Linked DNA regions of Anolis sagrei. Each later gene encodes a partner of the first gene's protein in a complex. Links are inferred from orthologs where the notes say so. Each region holds a gene or a part of one and is shown in the gene's direction. Other genes may lie near its edges.

Region 1 (7,860 bases):
GAGGGGCAATTCTCTACTCTTAAAGTGATGGTCACCCATGCTTTCAGTGCAATGAGGTGGTTTGTAGGGCATCACCTGCAAGTTTCAAGGCAAGTGAGAAACTGGGGTACCTAATGGGCACAAACATGATGCTAAGCCTTGACACAATGTGTGTTTGTGTGGGGAACCATTCCCTCTCCCTGAATAGCCTGAGAAGCCCTGTCCTACATGTAGCTATGCCTCCCAGCCAGCCATATATAGGACAACAGTTGCAATTTTCCTACTAACTGTGTTATTATTTATGTCAGGCATGTCAAACTGATTCTCATTGAGAGCCACATCAGTGTTACCGTTGCCTTCAAAGGGCCATTGAATCCATGGATGGAAAATCCATGGATACAGAGAGCAAACAGTAACACGATGTAACAAAATTTGTGGAGTGGGGGGACATGTTTCTGGTTTGAAAGTGTTATTTCTTGTTAAATTGTGCAGTACTTACTTTGAAAGTTGTTATACTCTACATTGTTATATTCCAGATTGAAACTTTGTTTTTGTGGCTGCCACAAACTATGTTGAATTGGTTGAGCCTTGGTGAGATATTCATTGAAAAACTAGAGCAAAATGTGCTGCAGGATGTCCTGCAAAAAAAGAAAAGAAAAGAAAAGAAAAGGTTTTGCAGTTTAATAAGCTTTTTCCATGTTTTTATGGTAGACCCAATTAGGAAATGACATTTATAAACCAGGAACAAAAATTGTGTTACATAATGTAATTGTTTTACATAGTTGTTGGCACGCTTTAATTTTTATGTAAATTTACATAAGATTGAAGGACAACTTTAATCCCTGTTGACAATACGCCATGCGGAACGGAGATAACAGGAATGGCAACTCAGGAGCCCTTGTGGTTCTGAAGTTGAGGAAAGACTAAAAGACATTTTAACGTCAACACAAACCACACTCTCCTGACTAAACAGAACAAGCTTTGGCCCAACTCCCATCAGCTTTAGTATGGTGATATAGGAGTCATACTCCAGCATCTGGAAAGCCACTGAAAATGCCACAGTGGGATGGATTTGGCTCATGAACCTAGAGTTTGACATCCGGGGTGTAGATGCACCCCGAGACCTTGCAAGGCTTGAATACATAGCAATGATTTATGAGTTATAGATATCTCTCTGTGTGTGTGGATGAATATGTATGTGTATACAGTAGAACCTCAACTTAAAAGCGTTCCAACCTAAAAGCATTTTGAGTCATGAGCTGTCACTTGTCCAGGTTTTGCTTTGACATACAAGCAGCATTTTGCATTAAGAGCTGGTGCTAGAGGGAGCACTAGCGAAAGAGTACAGTGCTTTAGAGCTTCAAGGGAGTAGCATCCGTACCATGTGCTCTTGTCTGCTTTGGGAGATTGCTGTCCCCTTTGAAGAACTTTGGGTTAGTTTGTGTGCTTTTTTATTCCTGGTATGTTTGGCTTCATGAAGAGAGGGAGAAAGAACAAGAGAGGGAGGGAGGCTGGAATGTGTCCAGTAGGAAGAAAATGATGCTTCTGCCTCTTCACTTTGGGCTTCCTTGCCACAACTTTGTACCTCTACCATTTTCAAGTTGATCTTTCTTTTTTTATTATTCCATGTGAACGTGCAGGTTTTGCCTTGCTATTACAATGGCCAGCACACATTTTGTTGCCTCAAATGTGCTTCCTTACTACAAATTTGCACTTCTACCATTTTACAGTTGATTGTTCTTTTAAACAGTTTCAAATAAATGTGCATTTATACATTACTTGTTACTGACAATTACATCTTTATTTTAAAAGCATGTAACAAAAATGGGGGGGGGGGGGTCGCACACCAGGGCTGGAAGGGCACCTTTAAACCAGTCTCACCACTCCAGAACTCAATTTATAAGCAAAGCAGTTTACTGAAGGTAAAAGATCAAAGGGTCGATATAAAGTTTATTTCTTTAAAAACAAAGCAATTGACCTATAATTCCCAGAATCCTCAGCCACATCAGGTAAAGAACCAGGCTTCTGTGAGACCTCAGATGCTGTCACAATCACAGGCTGAACCACAACAAGGGGCATGGAATGGATTAATAGCAGTTCAATGGAAAATTAGCTTTGAGATAACAGCATTTTGAGTTAAGAGTCCAGTCATAAACAATTTAAACTCTTAACTCAAGGTATCATTGTACACACACACACACACATATATGTGTGTGTGTGTATGTTTATATTGTATGTATATGTGTATGTGTATGTCTATGTATATATGTGTGCATACTTTATGTATATAGGTGTGTATGTATATGTGTATATGTATGATTATATTTATATATGTGTGTGTATATGCATGCATGTGTTTATATTTGTATGTATATGCATATATGTGCTTGTATATATATGTATGCATATATGTGAATGTACATGTGTATGTGCATGTGTATATATGTGTATGTATATATGTGTATGTTGTATTTGTATATGTATATATATTGGGTGTGTGTTTATATTTGCATGTGTATATTTGTGTATATGTATATATGTTTATATTTGTATATATGTGTTTATATTTGTATGTATATATGTGTGTGTTTATATTTGTATGTATATGTGCATATATATATGTGTGTGTTTGTATATTTATATGTGCATGCATATGTGTATGTTTACATTTATATGTACAGATGTGCATGCATATGTGTATGTTTATATTTGTATATGTAGGTATGTGTATGTTTATATTTGTGTGTACTGTATATATGTATGTACAAGTGAATGTTTATATTTGTATGTATATGCATATATGTATGTATATATATGTATATATGTGCATGTACTTGTGCATATGAATATATGTGTAGGTTTGTATTTGTATGCATATATATGTATGTATGTTTTTGTTGTTCATTCGTTCAGTCACTTCCGACTCTTCATGACCTCATGAACCAGCCCATGCCAGAGCTTCCTGTCGGCTCCTTATCTTTTCTGGCTAACCTCTGGCATTGTGCATTTACAGTGTATGTATATATGTATATTTATATTTGTATATATATGGGGATATATTTCTATGCGGATGTATATGTATGTTTATATTTGTGTGTATATGCATATGTATGTATGCATATATGTGCATGTACTTATCTGTATATATATGTGGGTATTTATTTATTTTTATTTATTTGATGCATTTATTAACCGCCATTCTCAGCCCATTAGGGCGACTCATGGCGTATGCATATATATATATGCATGTGTATATGATGAATGGGTATCAAGGAGGAATTCTGTGTGGCACCCACAAACTTGGCAGCTGCTCAAGCCTAGCAGATGTATGTATATGTGTGTGTTTATATTTGTATGTATATGTGCATATATATGTGTGTGTGTGCATATTTATATGTGCATCCATATGTGTATGTTTACATTTATATGTAAAGATGTGCATGCATATGTGTATCTTTATATTTGTATATGTGGGTATGTGTATATTTGTATACTGTATATATGTATGTATAAGTGAATGTTTATATTCGTATATATATGCATATGTGTATGTGTATATATATATATATATATACATATATGCATATATGTGCATGTACATGTGCATATGTATGTATGTGCAGGTTTGTATTTGTATGTATATATGTGGGTGTGCGTTTATATTTGTATGTATATATATATATATATATATATATGTATTTGTTGTTCATTCATTCAGTCACTTCTGACTCTTCATGACTTCATGAGCCAGCCCATGCCAGAGCAACCTGTCAGCCGTCACCACCCCCAGCTCCTTCAAGGTCCTTATCTCTTCTGGCTAACCTCTGGAGTTGTGCATTTACTGTGTATGTATATATGTATATTTCTATTTGTAAACAAAGATCTGCATAGTCAAAGCCATGGTATTCCCTGTAGTAACCTACGGATGTGAGAGCTGGACCTTAGGGAAGGCTGAGTGAAGGAAGATCGATGCTTTTGAACTGTGGTGTTGGAGGAAAGTGCTGAGAGTGCCGTGGACTGCGAGAAGATCCAACCAGTCCATCCTCCAGGAAATAAAGCCCAGAGGGAAGGATACTGGAGACATTGGAGGGAAGGATACTGGAGACAAAGTTGAAATACTTTGGCCACATCATGAGGAGACAGCAAAGCCTAGAGAAGACAATGATGATGGGGAAAGTGGAAGAAAAAAAGGAAGAGGGGCTGACCAAGGGCAAGATGGATGGATGGCATCCTTGAAGTGACCGGACTGACCTTGAAGGAGCTGGGGGTGGTGACAGCTGACAGGGAGCTCTGGCGTAGGCTGGCCCATGAGGTCCCGAAGAGTCGGAGATGACTAAACAAATGAACAACAACAACAAAATATGCCTATCTATGTATGTATGCATATATGTCCATGTACATATGTGTATACATGTGAGTATGCATATATGTGTATGCATGTGTATATGATGGATGGGTATCAAGGAGGAATTCTGTGTGGCACCCACAAACTTGGCAGCTGCTCAAGCCTAGCAGAGAAGAGGTTGTTGTGTGACTGAGTCTTGTACCTGAAGGAGGGCCACCTTTGTAGAGAGAAGGCAGGCATGGGGAGCGTGGAGAAGCGAGGAAAGGGGGGGGGGTCCCCAAGTTGGTACCAGGTTGGGGGGGTAGGCAGCCCCTTCTTCCAGCTCTGAGGACAAAAGGCGCTCCCAGCCCTGCGGATGCCTCCTTGGCGAAGGGGCCCCTTGCCTTGGGATGGCGCCCCTCCTTCCCTCCTCCCTCCCTGCCTCCGTCCAGCCAGCCAGCCAGCCATCTAGCCAGCCTCCCCCTTCCTTCCTCCCCTTCCCTTTCCCCTCCTCCTCCTCCTCCCCCTCCCTCCCGAGGAGCTCCGTTTCCCACTTGCCAGGAGCAGATTAAAAAAAAGAGAGAGAAAGAAAAAAAAAACCCCGCAACAACCCAGAAAACGGGGAGGGACCTCTTCTGTCAGAGCCTTATGTAGATTAACCTTTCAATTAGCCGTGATCAAGTCCCTGCTTTTAGAGCCCACCACCACCACCGGGTCCGGGAGACAAATCTGCAGCCACCAAGAAAGGTCGGATGGGGGGGAATTGATGGATGGATGGATTGGTTTGCAAAAGATTGGATTCTTTGGAAGGGGGAGGGAAAGGAGGATGAGGATGGGGAGGATTCCTCCCGTTGGAGTGCTTCTGCTTCCCAATCTCTGGGGGTTTTTGTGTGGGGTGTGTTTTGGGATTGTTGTGGAGCAGGGAAATCGATAGTTTGGGGGGAAAGGGTTGTTGTTGTTGGTGGGGTTCTTCTCTTTGCCTTCTCCTCGGAGCCACATTCCTAAGGAGCATCTCTCCTTTCTCTCTCTCTGTCTCCCTCCCGCCAAGGCACGTGTTTACAGAGGATCCGTGCCTTTCCCTCCTCCCTCCCTCCTTATAGACTGCGATTGTTTCCTGCAGGAAATGGGCGGGTTCGGCGGGCCCCGCGTGCCTGGGCAGGCAGCGCGTGCACCCTTCTTCCTCCCTCTCTCTCTCAATCTTTCCCTTCCTTCTGATTTGGAGCTTGTTTTGTTTCCCCTTTCAATTCCGCCCGCCCGCGTGGCGTGAAACTCAATAATAATAACAATAATAATACAGTACTCCCGCGCGCCGCTGATTAGTATGTGTCGCGTGCCCTCCCGCACGCCGAAAGCGCCCCCCGCTCTATTCCCACAGATTACAAACTTCAGGATGAAACCGAAGCAAAGGCAAAAAAAAGGGAGGCTGCTTGAGCTTGATTGATAGCTTCACTAGCCTATTAAACAAGCCAAAGCGTGCCTCCCTTTTCTCTCTCTCTCAATCTTCGTCCCTCCCCCTTTTTATGTGTAATTGCCAGCCAACTAGGATCGTGGACAGCGACAGTGCATTTTTTTCCCTCCCCCGACTATAGGATTGATTGACAGCACTCACCGTCCAATGGCGTGCTAGGTCTAAATGGGTTGGTGGAGAGGAATGACGAGAGGCAGGGCGCTGCCGCCAATGAGCGCGGCGGTTTGAACGAAGAGGCGGGGCGTCCACCAAGGGGAGGGCAAGCGAGGGAGGGGGGGCAGAGGCTGTAATGAGCCTACATCGGGCTGTCATCGGGTGTCATGTCGGATGCGCGGTGACTGCGAGAGGGCGAGACAAAATGGCGGCAGCGAAGGCGGCTTGAAAGGCGAAGGGCGGCGAGGTGAGAAGCGGTGGCGGCGCGGGCGCTGCCCGAGGAGGAGGGAACTTGGGCGGCGGCGGGGAGGCCGGCAGGGGGCGCAGCTGGGGCTTGCCTTGGCTCCTCCCCCCGGCGGAGGGTGGGTCGCGAGCGCCCCCCGGCGGACGAGGCGAGGCAAGCAGGGGCCTCGCGCCCTCGTTGCAGGTGGCGCGCGCGAGGAGAGAGGGGGGGCGTGGGGCGGGGCCAGCTATGCAAATCAACCCTGTGAGGGCAACTGGATGGGCTTGGAGTTATTGGATGGGTAAATAAGAGGCCTGCTATGCAGAGCTGAAGGAAGCGTTGGTTGGGCGCGTGCCTTTGAACGTGGCCTCTGAGAGGCTTGGGGAGGAGAGCTCAGGACCCTTCCACACAGCTGTATAAAATCCCACATTATCTGCTTTGAACTGGGTTATATGGCAGTATGGGCTCAGGGCAGCCCTATATCCCAGAGTATCAAGGCAGAAAACCCCACAATATCTGCTTTGAAACTGGGTTATATGGCAGTATGGGCTCAGGGCAGCCCTACATCCCATAATATCAAGGCAGAAAATCCCACAATATCTGCTTTGAAACTGGGTTATATGGCAGTATGGGCTCAGGGCAGCCCTACATCCCATAATATCAAGGCAGAAAATACCACTATATCTGTTTTGAACAGGGTTATATGGCAGTATGGGCTCAGGGCAGCCCTACATCCCAGAATATCAAGGCAGAAAACCCCACAATATCTGCTTTGAACTGGGTTAGCTGAGAACACACAGAGATATTGTGGGATTTTCTGCTTTGATATTCTGGGTTATAGGGCTGTGGGGAAGGGTCCCGAGGGGCTCCTGAGGAAAACAATCTGAGTACGCTTCCACACAGGCATATAACCCAGAATATCAAGGCAGTAAATCCCACAATATCTGCTTTGAACTGGGTTATATGGCAGTATGGGCTCAGGGCAGCCCTGTATCCCAGAATATCAAGGCAGAAAATCCCACAATATCTGCATTGAACTGGGTTATATGGCAGTATGGGCTCAGGGCAGCCCTGTATCCCAGAATATCAAGGCAGAAAATCCCACAAGATCTGCATTGAACTGGGTTATATGGCAGTATGGGCTCAGGGCAGCCCTACATCCCAGAATATCAAGGCAGAAAACCCCACAATATCTGCTTTGAACTGGGTTATATGGCAGTATTGGCTTAGGGCAACCCTATATCCCAGAATATCATGGCAGAAAACCCCATAATATCTGCTTTGAACTGGGTTATATGGCAGTATGGGCTCAGGGCAGCCCTATTTCCCAGAATATCAAGGCAGAAAATCCCACAATATCTGATTTGAACTGGGTTGTATGAGTCCACACAGAGGTATTGTGGGATTTTCTGTTTTTATATTCTGGGTTATAGGGCTGTGGGGAAGGGTCCTGAGGAGTTCCTGAGAAAAACAATCTGAGGGTGCTTCCACACAGGCATATAACCCAGAATATCAAGGCAGAAGATCCCACAATATCTGCTTTAAACTGGGTTATCTGAGTCCACACAGAGATAATGTGGGATTTTCTGACTTGATATTCTGGGATATAGGGCTGTGTGGCAGGGCCCTTAGATATCCCAGTTCAAAGCAGATATTCTGGATCATCTGCCATGATATTCTGGGTCATATGGCTGTTTGGAAGGGTCCTCACTT
Region 2 (7,494 bases), on another chromosome or scaffold:
GTCATGCCGGCCACATGACCTTGGAGGTGTCTACGGACAACTCTGGCTCTTCGGCTTAGAAATGGAGATGAGCACCACACCCCAGAGTCAGACATGACTGGACTTAATGTCAGGGGACTACCTTTACCTTTACCTAAGCCGCCCCGAGTCGTCTTGGAGAGATAGTGGTAGGGTATAAATAAAGTGTATTATTATTATTATTATTATTATTATTATTATGAGGTCATGGGCTAGCCAAGAAAAAACAAATTGAAACTGAATCCAGACAAAGCAAAGGTGATTGCCATCAAGGGTCCTAATCTGGGGATAGAAGTGTGTCAACCAATTCTGGATGGAGTTACACTGCCCCTGAAAGACTGTGTTCGCAGCTTGGGAGTATTCCTGGATCTGTCCCTCCAAATGTCAGCCCAGGTAGCTACAACCATCAGGAGTGCTTACTACCAGCTTGGGCTGATACGTCAGCCATGACCCTACTAAATCTTGTCTGTTGGGGGCAAGTGTGAATGTTGCAAATGGCCATCTTGATTAGCATTTAATGGCCTTGCAGCTTTAAAGCCTGGCTGTTTCCTGCCTGGGGAGATGTTAGCTGGCTCTGATTGTTTCCTGTCTGGAATTCCCCTGCTTTCTGAGTGTTCTTCTTTATTTACTGTCCTGACTTTGGATTTTTTTTAAAAAAAAAATAATACTGGTATTGATATTGAGCAGGAATTTAGTGGCTCTCGCCCTGGAGGGTGAGAGCCCACAGACCCAACAATCAAAGGATTATCTTCTCAGAGGAATGTGAAGTTTTCCCTAAGGCTTTGGGCGCTGGGGTCACAAAGAGTGGCATTTCATATTTCATATAAGGGGTATGGAGAAGGGGGAAACATGCAAGTTAATCATATGAGGGTACATTCATATAAAGAGAAAGAGCCCATCTCCACCTCCCCCCACCCACCAAAGTCCATTGGGAATTCATAAAGCCATTTTGAGAGCCCATGGGGCTGGGGAGAGGAACAAGTTTTAAAAAGTCCAAAGGTTCATGGGGCTTGAAAAGGTAAAGTTTCCAAAAAGTTTCTAAGAGTCCTCCAGAAGGGGGAAAGCCCTATAAAAGTTCAAGAGAGTACATAAGTGTAAAGGGAGGTGGTTTCTCAGTAATAAATGTATTACCTTCTGCTATATATGAAGCATAGGGCATAAAACCTTGATTAAACATACACACTATCTGGCATGGGAAGGCTCCCTGTTGTGGTTGTTACTGTCTTTGCAAATTTGACCAAGACTTTACCCCTATTATCCAGCCTGATGTTTTTGTCCTTAGCAAAACTATAAGTTACTATTTCTTATGGGGGTGGGGGAGGTCATGTTCGACCTCAGTATGTTTGAACAAAATTTTGCAACCAGTATTAAAAAAACCTCTAGAATCAGGACAGTAAATAAAGTGGACAAAATGTCAGGAGATAATGCTTCTGCAACATGGCCACACAGGCTCAGAAAACTCACAGCCACCTATAATAATACTGGGCAAGGTGATTGAGAGGGTAGCAGCGAAGCAGTTGCAGCAATTCTGAGATGACACAGCCGGACTAGATCCCTTCCAGTCCAGCTTCCGTGTGGGGCACGGGACAGAGACCGTGCTGGTCTCCATCACGGATCACCTTCGATGCCAGCTTGACCAGGGCGGGTCAGCGCTGCTTGTGTTATTGGATCTCACAGCAGCATTTGACACAGTCGACCACAATCTTTTGACCCACCGCCTTGCTGTTGTTGGAGTCAGGGGGACAGCTTTAAACTGGCTGTCCTCCTTTCTTCACAACCGTGGAGAGCGAGTGAAGAGGGGAGGCCTGGTCTCTGAGAGGTCCCCTCTATCTTGTGGGGTTCCTCAGGGGGCCATTCTCTCCCCTCTGTTGTTTAACTTCTATATGCGACCACTTGCTCAGCTGGTTTGAGGTTTTGGGCTTGAGTGTTACCAGTACGCCAATGACACTCAGCTGGTGCTGAAGATGGAAGGCCGACCGGACTCTGTACCCGATTGTTTCCATCAGTGCCTCGAGGCCGTTACTGGATGGCTGCGTGCCAGCAGGTTGAGGGTGAACCCAGCAAAGACGGAGATCCTATGGCTGGGTCGACCAGTCAGTGGGGACATCCAGCTGCCTACCCTGGATGGCGAGGCGCTACGCCCGTCATCATTGGTAAAGAGTCTGGGAGTCCTTTTGGACCCTCTGCTGACGATGGAGGCCCAGGTCTCTGCCGTTAGCAGAACCGCTTTCTTTCATCTGTGGCAGTCTAGACGGCTGGCCCCCTACCTGTCCAGGGATGACCTAGCTACGGTGATCCAGGCCACGGTCATCTCAAGACTGGACTACTGTAGCGCCCTCTACATTGGCCTTCCTCTGTCGGTGATCCGGAAGCTCAAGTTGGTACAAAATGCAGCTGCTCGGCTTCTTGCGGGAATTCCGATGAGATGCCACATAACACCAATCTTACGGCAGCTGCATTGGTTACCAATTGAGCACTGGATCACTTTCAAAGTGATGGTACTCACCTTTAAGGCCTTGCATGGTCTGGGGCCGATGTACCTGAGGGACCGCCTCACCCCCTACCAACCCTAGAGATCCCTCCGTTCTGAGGACCAAGATCTATTGGAAATTCCCAGTGTCAAGACCTTGCGCCTAACAGCAACCAGACGCAGAGCCTTCACAGCAGTGGCACCATCACTCTGGAATACTCTGCCACCTGAAGTCTGGGACTTACCAGCTTTCCGCAGGGCATGTAAGACATACATGTTTCGACAGGCTTTTAATGTTTGATACTGCTGTGTTTCAATTGTTTTAAATTGCTTTTAAATTTTGTTAGATTTTAGCCATTCTTGTAAGCCGCTCCGAGCCCCAGGGGAGTGGCAGCATTTAAGTTCAAATAATAAATAAATAAATAATACTGATACAGAGAGGTTTTATTTCATCACAGGCCTGAGATCTAATTGCTAGACCAAGGTAAGGAGGAAAGCTGGTTAGGTTGGAAGCTTAAGCCTGAGGATGCATATTCTACACTGTAAAAATGATGCAGTTTGACACCACTCAATGCTAGGGGTCCCTGGGAGTTGTAGTTCTACAATGAAATGCAAAGATACAGAATGGAGGATGCCTGGCTCGAGAGCAGTACGTGTGAAAAAGATCTTGGAGTCCTCGTGGACAACAAGTTAAACATGAGCTGACAATGTGATGTGGCGGCAAAAAAAGCCAATGGGATTTTGGCCTGCATCAATAGGAGCATAGTGTCTAGATCTAGCTACCCCTCTAGGAGCATAGGAGCATAGTGTCTAGATCATGCTACCCCTCTATTCTGTTTTGGTTAGACCACATCTGGAATATTGTGTCCAATTCTGGGCACCACAATTCAAGAGAGATATTGACAAGCTGGAATGTGTCCAGAGGAGGGCGACTAAAATGATCAAGGGTCTGGAGAACAAGCCCTATGAGGAGCGGCTTAAGGAGCTGGGCATGTTTAGCCTGAAGAAGAGAAGGCTGAGAGGAGATATGATAGCCATGTATAAATATGTGAGAGGAAGCCATAGGGAGGAGGGAGCAAGCTTGTTTTCTGCTTCCTTGGAGACTAGAACGCGGAACAATGGCTTCAAACTACAAGAGAGGAGATTCCATCTGAACATGAGGAAGAACTTCCTGACTGTGAGAGCCGTTCAGCAGTGGAACTCTCTGCCCCGGAGTGTGGTGGAGGCTCCTTCTTTGGAAGCTTTTAAACAGAGGCTGGATGGCCATCTGTCAGGGGTGCTTTGAATGCAATATTCCTGCTTCTTGGCAGGGGGTTGGACTGGATAGCCCATGAGGTCTCTTCCAACTCTAGGATTCTATGGTATTTGTTAAAATTGTTCTTCATTTTAATTATTATATTGTTTTTAAGTGGTTTTTGCACTATAAATAAGATATGTGCAGTGTGCATAGGAATTCATTCATATATTTTTTTCAAATTATAATGGGGCCCTCCAATATTTTGAGGGACTCTGTTTGAGGACCCCGTTCTACACTGTAAAATTGATACAGTTTGACACCACTCAACGCTAGGGGTCCTGGGGGTTGTAGTTCTACAAGGCCTTGTAGCCTTGTAGCTACTGCCTCACCAAACTACAACTCCCAGGATACAGTGCAGATCAGGCATGGGCAAACTTGGGCCTTCCTGGTGCTAGGAATTGTGGGAGTTGAAGTCCAAAACACCTGGAGGGCCCAAGTCTGCCCGTGCCTGGAAGAGAGAGATGCACTCTAACCCAGCTCTGCCTCCTTCTCCCTCCCCTTCCTTCGTTTGGGCCTAGCCTTGCCATTCCCGCGAGCAGATTCGTCTCACGTTCTCACCAAGTGAACTTTCTTTTCACTCCAGAGAAAAACAAAAGGGATTAATATTCAAATGGATTTAAATAAGTGTTAAAATAAACCTGTGAATGGGGTCAAATTCCGAATATGCCTGCTCCTGGGTGTCGAAAGTGCGGTTGCCAAGGAGCCGCTTTACCCAGCGGGGCCTCCCCGCGCAGGAGCTGCCTCTCTCTCTGTTGCTGCTGCTGCTGGTTCTTCTGCTGGCCGACACTGAAAAATCAGAAGGACGAGGAGAAGAAGAAGGAGAAGAAGCTGGAGCCTGGCCGCCCTCGTCCCTCGCCTTCTCCTCTTTCTCCTCCTCCTCCATTGTCCGGGTTGGGGCCCATGGCGGCTGCCGACGCCACGCTGCAGCCGCCTCACAGCCCCCGCAGGCCTGAGGCCTAAGTCGCTTCGGGTGAGGAGGGGAGCCGGGGACGGAGGGGAAGAGGGCCTGCGGGAGGCAAAACGGGCCTCCGCCTTGGAGGGGATATTAAGGCTGGGTGGAGGATTCACGGGGTTCGGCGGTTGCGGCCTACTCTTTCTTGCCTCAGATCCACACGAGAAAGGGGGGCGCAGCCACCCTGTGCGGTTAAAACGGTTTGGCACCGCTTTAAACTGCCCCTGCTCAAGGCTGTGGAGTCTTGGGAGTTGTAGTTTGTTCCAGGCAGCAGTGTTGACTTCAGGCGCATCTATATTACAGAATGAATGCAGTTTCAGGCACACATCTATATTACAGAATTAATTCAGTTTAACTGCCACTGCTGAAGTCAGTGGGATCTTGGGAGTTGTTGTTTGTTCCTGGCAGCAGTGCTGACTTCAGGCACACATCTATATTACAGAATTAATGCGGTTTGGCACCGCTTTAACTGCCCCAGCTCAAAGCTAGGGAGTCCAGGGAGTTGTAGTTTGTTCCTGGCAGCAGTACTGATTTAAGGCACATCTATATTACAGAATGAATGCAGTTTGGCGCCGCTTTAACTGCCCTGGCTCAAGGAAGTGGCATCCTGGAAGTTGTGGTTTGTTCTTGGCAGCAGTGCTGACTTCAGGCACACATCTATGTTACAGAATGAATGCAGTTTGGCACTGCTTTAACTGCCCTGGCTCAATGAAGTGGGATCTTGGGAGTTGTAGTTTGTTCCTGGCAGCAGTGCTGACTTCAGGCACACATCTATATTACAGAATTAATGCAGTTTGGCGCCGCTTTAACTGCCCTGGCTCAAGGAAGTGGGATCCTGGGAGTTGTAGTTTGTTCCTGACAGCAGTGCTGACTTCAGGTACACATCTATATTACAGAATGAATGCGGTTTGGCGCCGCTTTAACTGTCACTGCTCAAGTCAGTGGGATCTTGGGAGTTGTAGTTTGTTCCTGGCAGCAGTGCTGACTTCAGGCGCATCTATATTACAGAATGAATGCAGTTTCAGGCACACATCTATATTACAGAATTAATTCAGTTTAACTGCCCCTGCTCAAGTCAATGGGATCTTGGGAGTTGTAGTTTGTTCCTGGCAGCAGTGCTGACTTCAGACACACATCTATGTTCCAGAATGAATGCAGTTTGGCACCGCTTTAACTGCCCTGGCCCAAGGCTAGGGAGTCCAGGGAGTTGTAGTGTGTTCCTGGCAGCAGTACTAATTTAAGGCGCATCTATATTACAGAATTAATTCAATTTAATTGCCACTGCTCAAGTCATTGGGATCTTGGGAGTTGTAGTTTGTTCCTGGCAGCAGTGCTGACTTCAGGCACATATATATTACAGAATGAATGCAGTTTCAGGCACACATCTATATTACAGAATTAATTCAATTTAACTGCCACTGCTCAAGTCAGTGGGATCTTGGGAGTTGCTGTTTGTTCCTGGCAACAGTGCTGACTTCAGGCATACATCTATGTTACAGAATGAATGGAGTTTCGCACCACTTTAACTGCCCCAGCTCAAAGCTAGGGAGTCCAGGGAGTTGAAGTTTGTCCCTGGCAACAGTGCAGACTTCAAGCGCACCTATATTAAAGAATGAATGCAGTTTGGCGCAGCTTTAACTGCCACTGCTCAAGGCTATGACATCCTGGGAGTTGTAGTTTGTTCCTGGCAGCAGTGTTGACTTCAGGCACACATCTATATTACAGAATGAATGCAGTTTGGCATTGCTTTAACTGCCCTGGCTCAAGGCTGTGGGATCCTGGAAGTTGTAGTTTGTTTCTGGCAGCAGTGCTGACCTCAGGCGCATCTATATTACAGAATGAATGCAGCTTGGCACTGCTTTAACTGCCACTGCTCAAGGCTATGGCATCCTGGGAGTTGTAGTTTGTTCCTGCCAGCCGTGCTGACATCAGGTACACATCTATATTACAGAATGAATGCAGTTTGGCACTGCTTTAACTGCCCTGGCTTAAGGCTGTGGGATCCTGTGAGTTGTAGTTTGGTGAGGGCCCAGCCAAGAAGACTAAAGACCTTGTGAAACTACAGCTGGGAGGACCCTACTGCCTTGAGTTGAAGTGGTGTCAAGTGGCCACTCATTCTGCAGAACAATGGGGAATGGAGCCAGAGAGAATAGAGACTGAGGGTGGCATCTGTAATGTTGAATTAGTTGTTTGACACCACTTTCATTGCCCTGGCTAAATGCTAGAGAAGCATGGGAGCTGTTCATTTACAACAGGCATCAGTTAGAAATTGTGGGAGTTGAAGTCCAAAACACCTGGAGAGCCCAAGTTTGCCATGCCTCGTTTACAAGGTCTTCTGTTTTCTCTGCCAAAGAGAGCTGATTCCTCAAAAAACTACAAATCCCATGATTGCATAGCATTGAGCCACAGCAGTTAAAGGGGTCCCAAACTGCATTCATTCTACTATGTTTAGATCAGTCCACCAACTGTTAGGAACTGTGGGAGTTGGAGGGCTGAAGTTTGCCCAGGCCTGGTATAGAGGAAGGGGTGGCTTGATAGTCCTGCCATCCCTCCTTCACCCCAATTGGTTGCCCAGTATGTAGGAGGCATGTGTGTCAGAATTAAAGTTGATACTGCTTTAACTGTCATGGCTCAGTGTGGTAGAATCCTGGGAGTTCTAAGTTTACAAGATCTTTAGCTTTCTATGCCTCACCAAATCCTACAATTCCATAGAGCTTTGCAAAGTCTTTTTATCCCTGTCTGCCAAAGAGGGAAGCA

What was found. Proteins that work in one complex are often made in the same cells at the same time.
Region 2: KAT6B (region 1) and BRPF1 share a complex: the UniProt entries of both Homo sapiens proteins name them as parts of the MOZ/MORF complex. The link is inferred for Anolis sagrei from reciprocal best matches to the Homo sapiens genes KAT6B and BRPF1.

What each region holds. Positions count from the first base shown.
Region 1 is NC_090023.1:148,789,255-148,797,114, forward strand, and holds the start of KAT6B (histone acetyltransferase KAT6B), read left to right. Parts: upstream 1-4,839; 5' UTR 4,840-5,050; intron 5,051-6,084; exon of another isoform or gene 6,085-6,171; intron 6,172-7,860. UniProt on the Homo sapiens protein: Histone acetyltransferase which may be involved in both positive and negative regulation of transcription. Required for RUNX2-dependent transcriptional activation. May be involved in cerebral cortex development.
Region 2 is NC_090022.1:26,957,086-26,964,579, forward strand, and holds the start of BRPF1 (peregrin), read left to right. Parts: upstream 1-4,487; 5' UTR 4,488-4,755; intron 4,756-7,494. UniProt on the Homo sapiens protein: Scaffold subunit of various histone acetyltransferase (HAT) complexes, such as the MOZ/MORF and HBO1 complexes, which have a histone H3 acetyltransferase activity.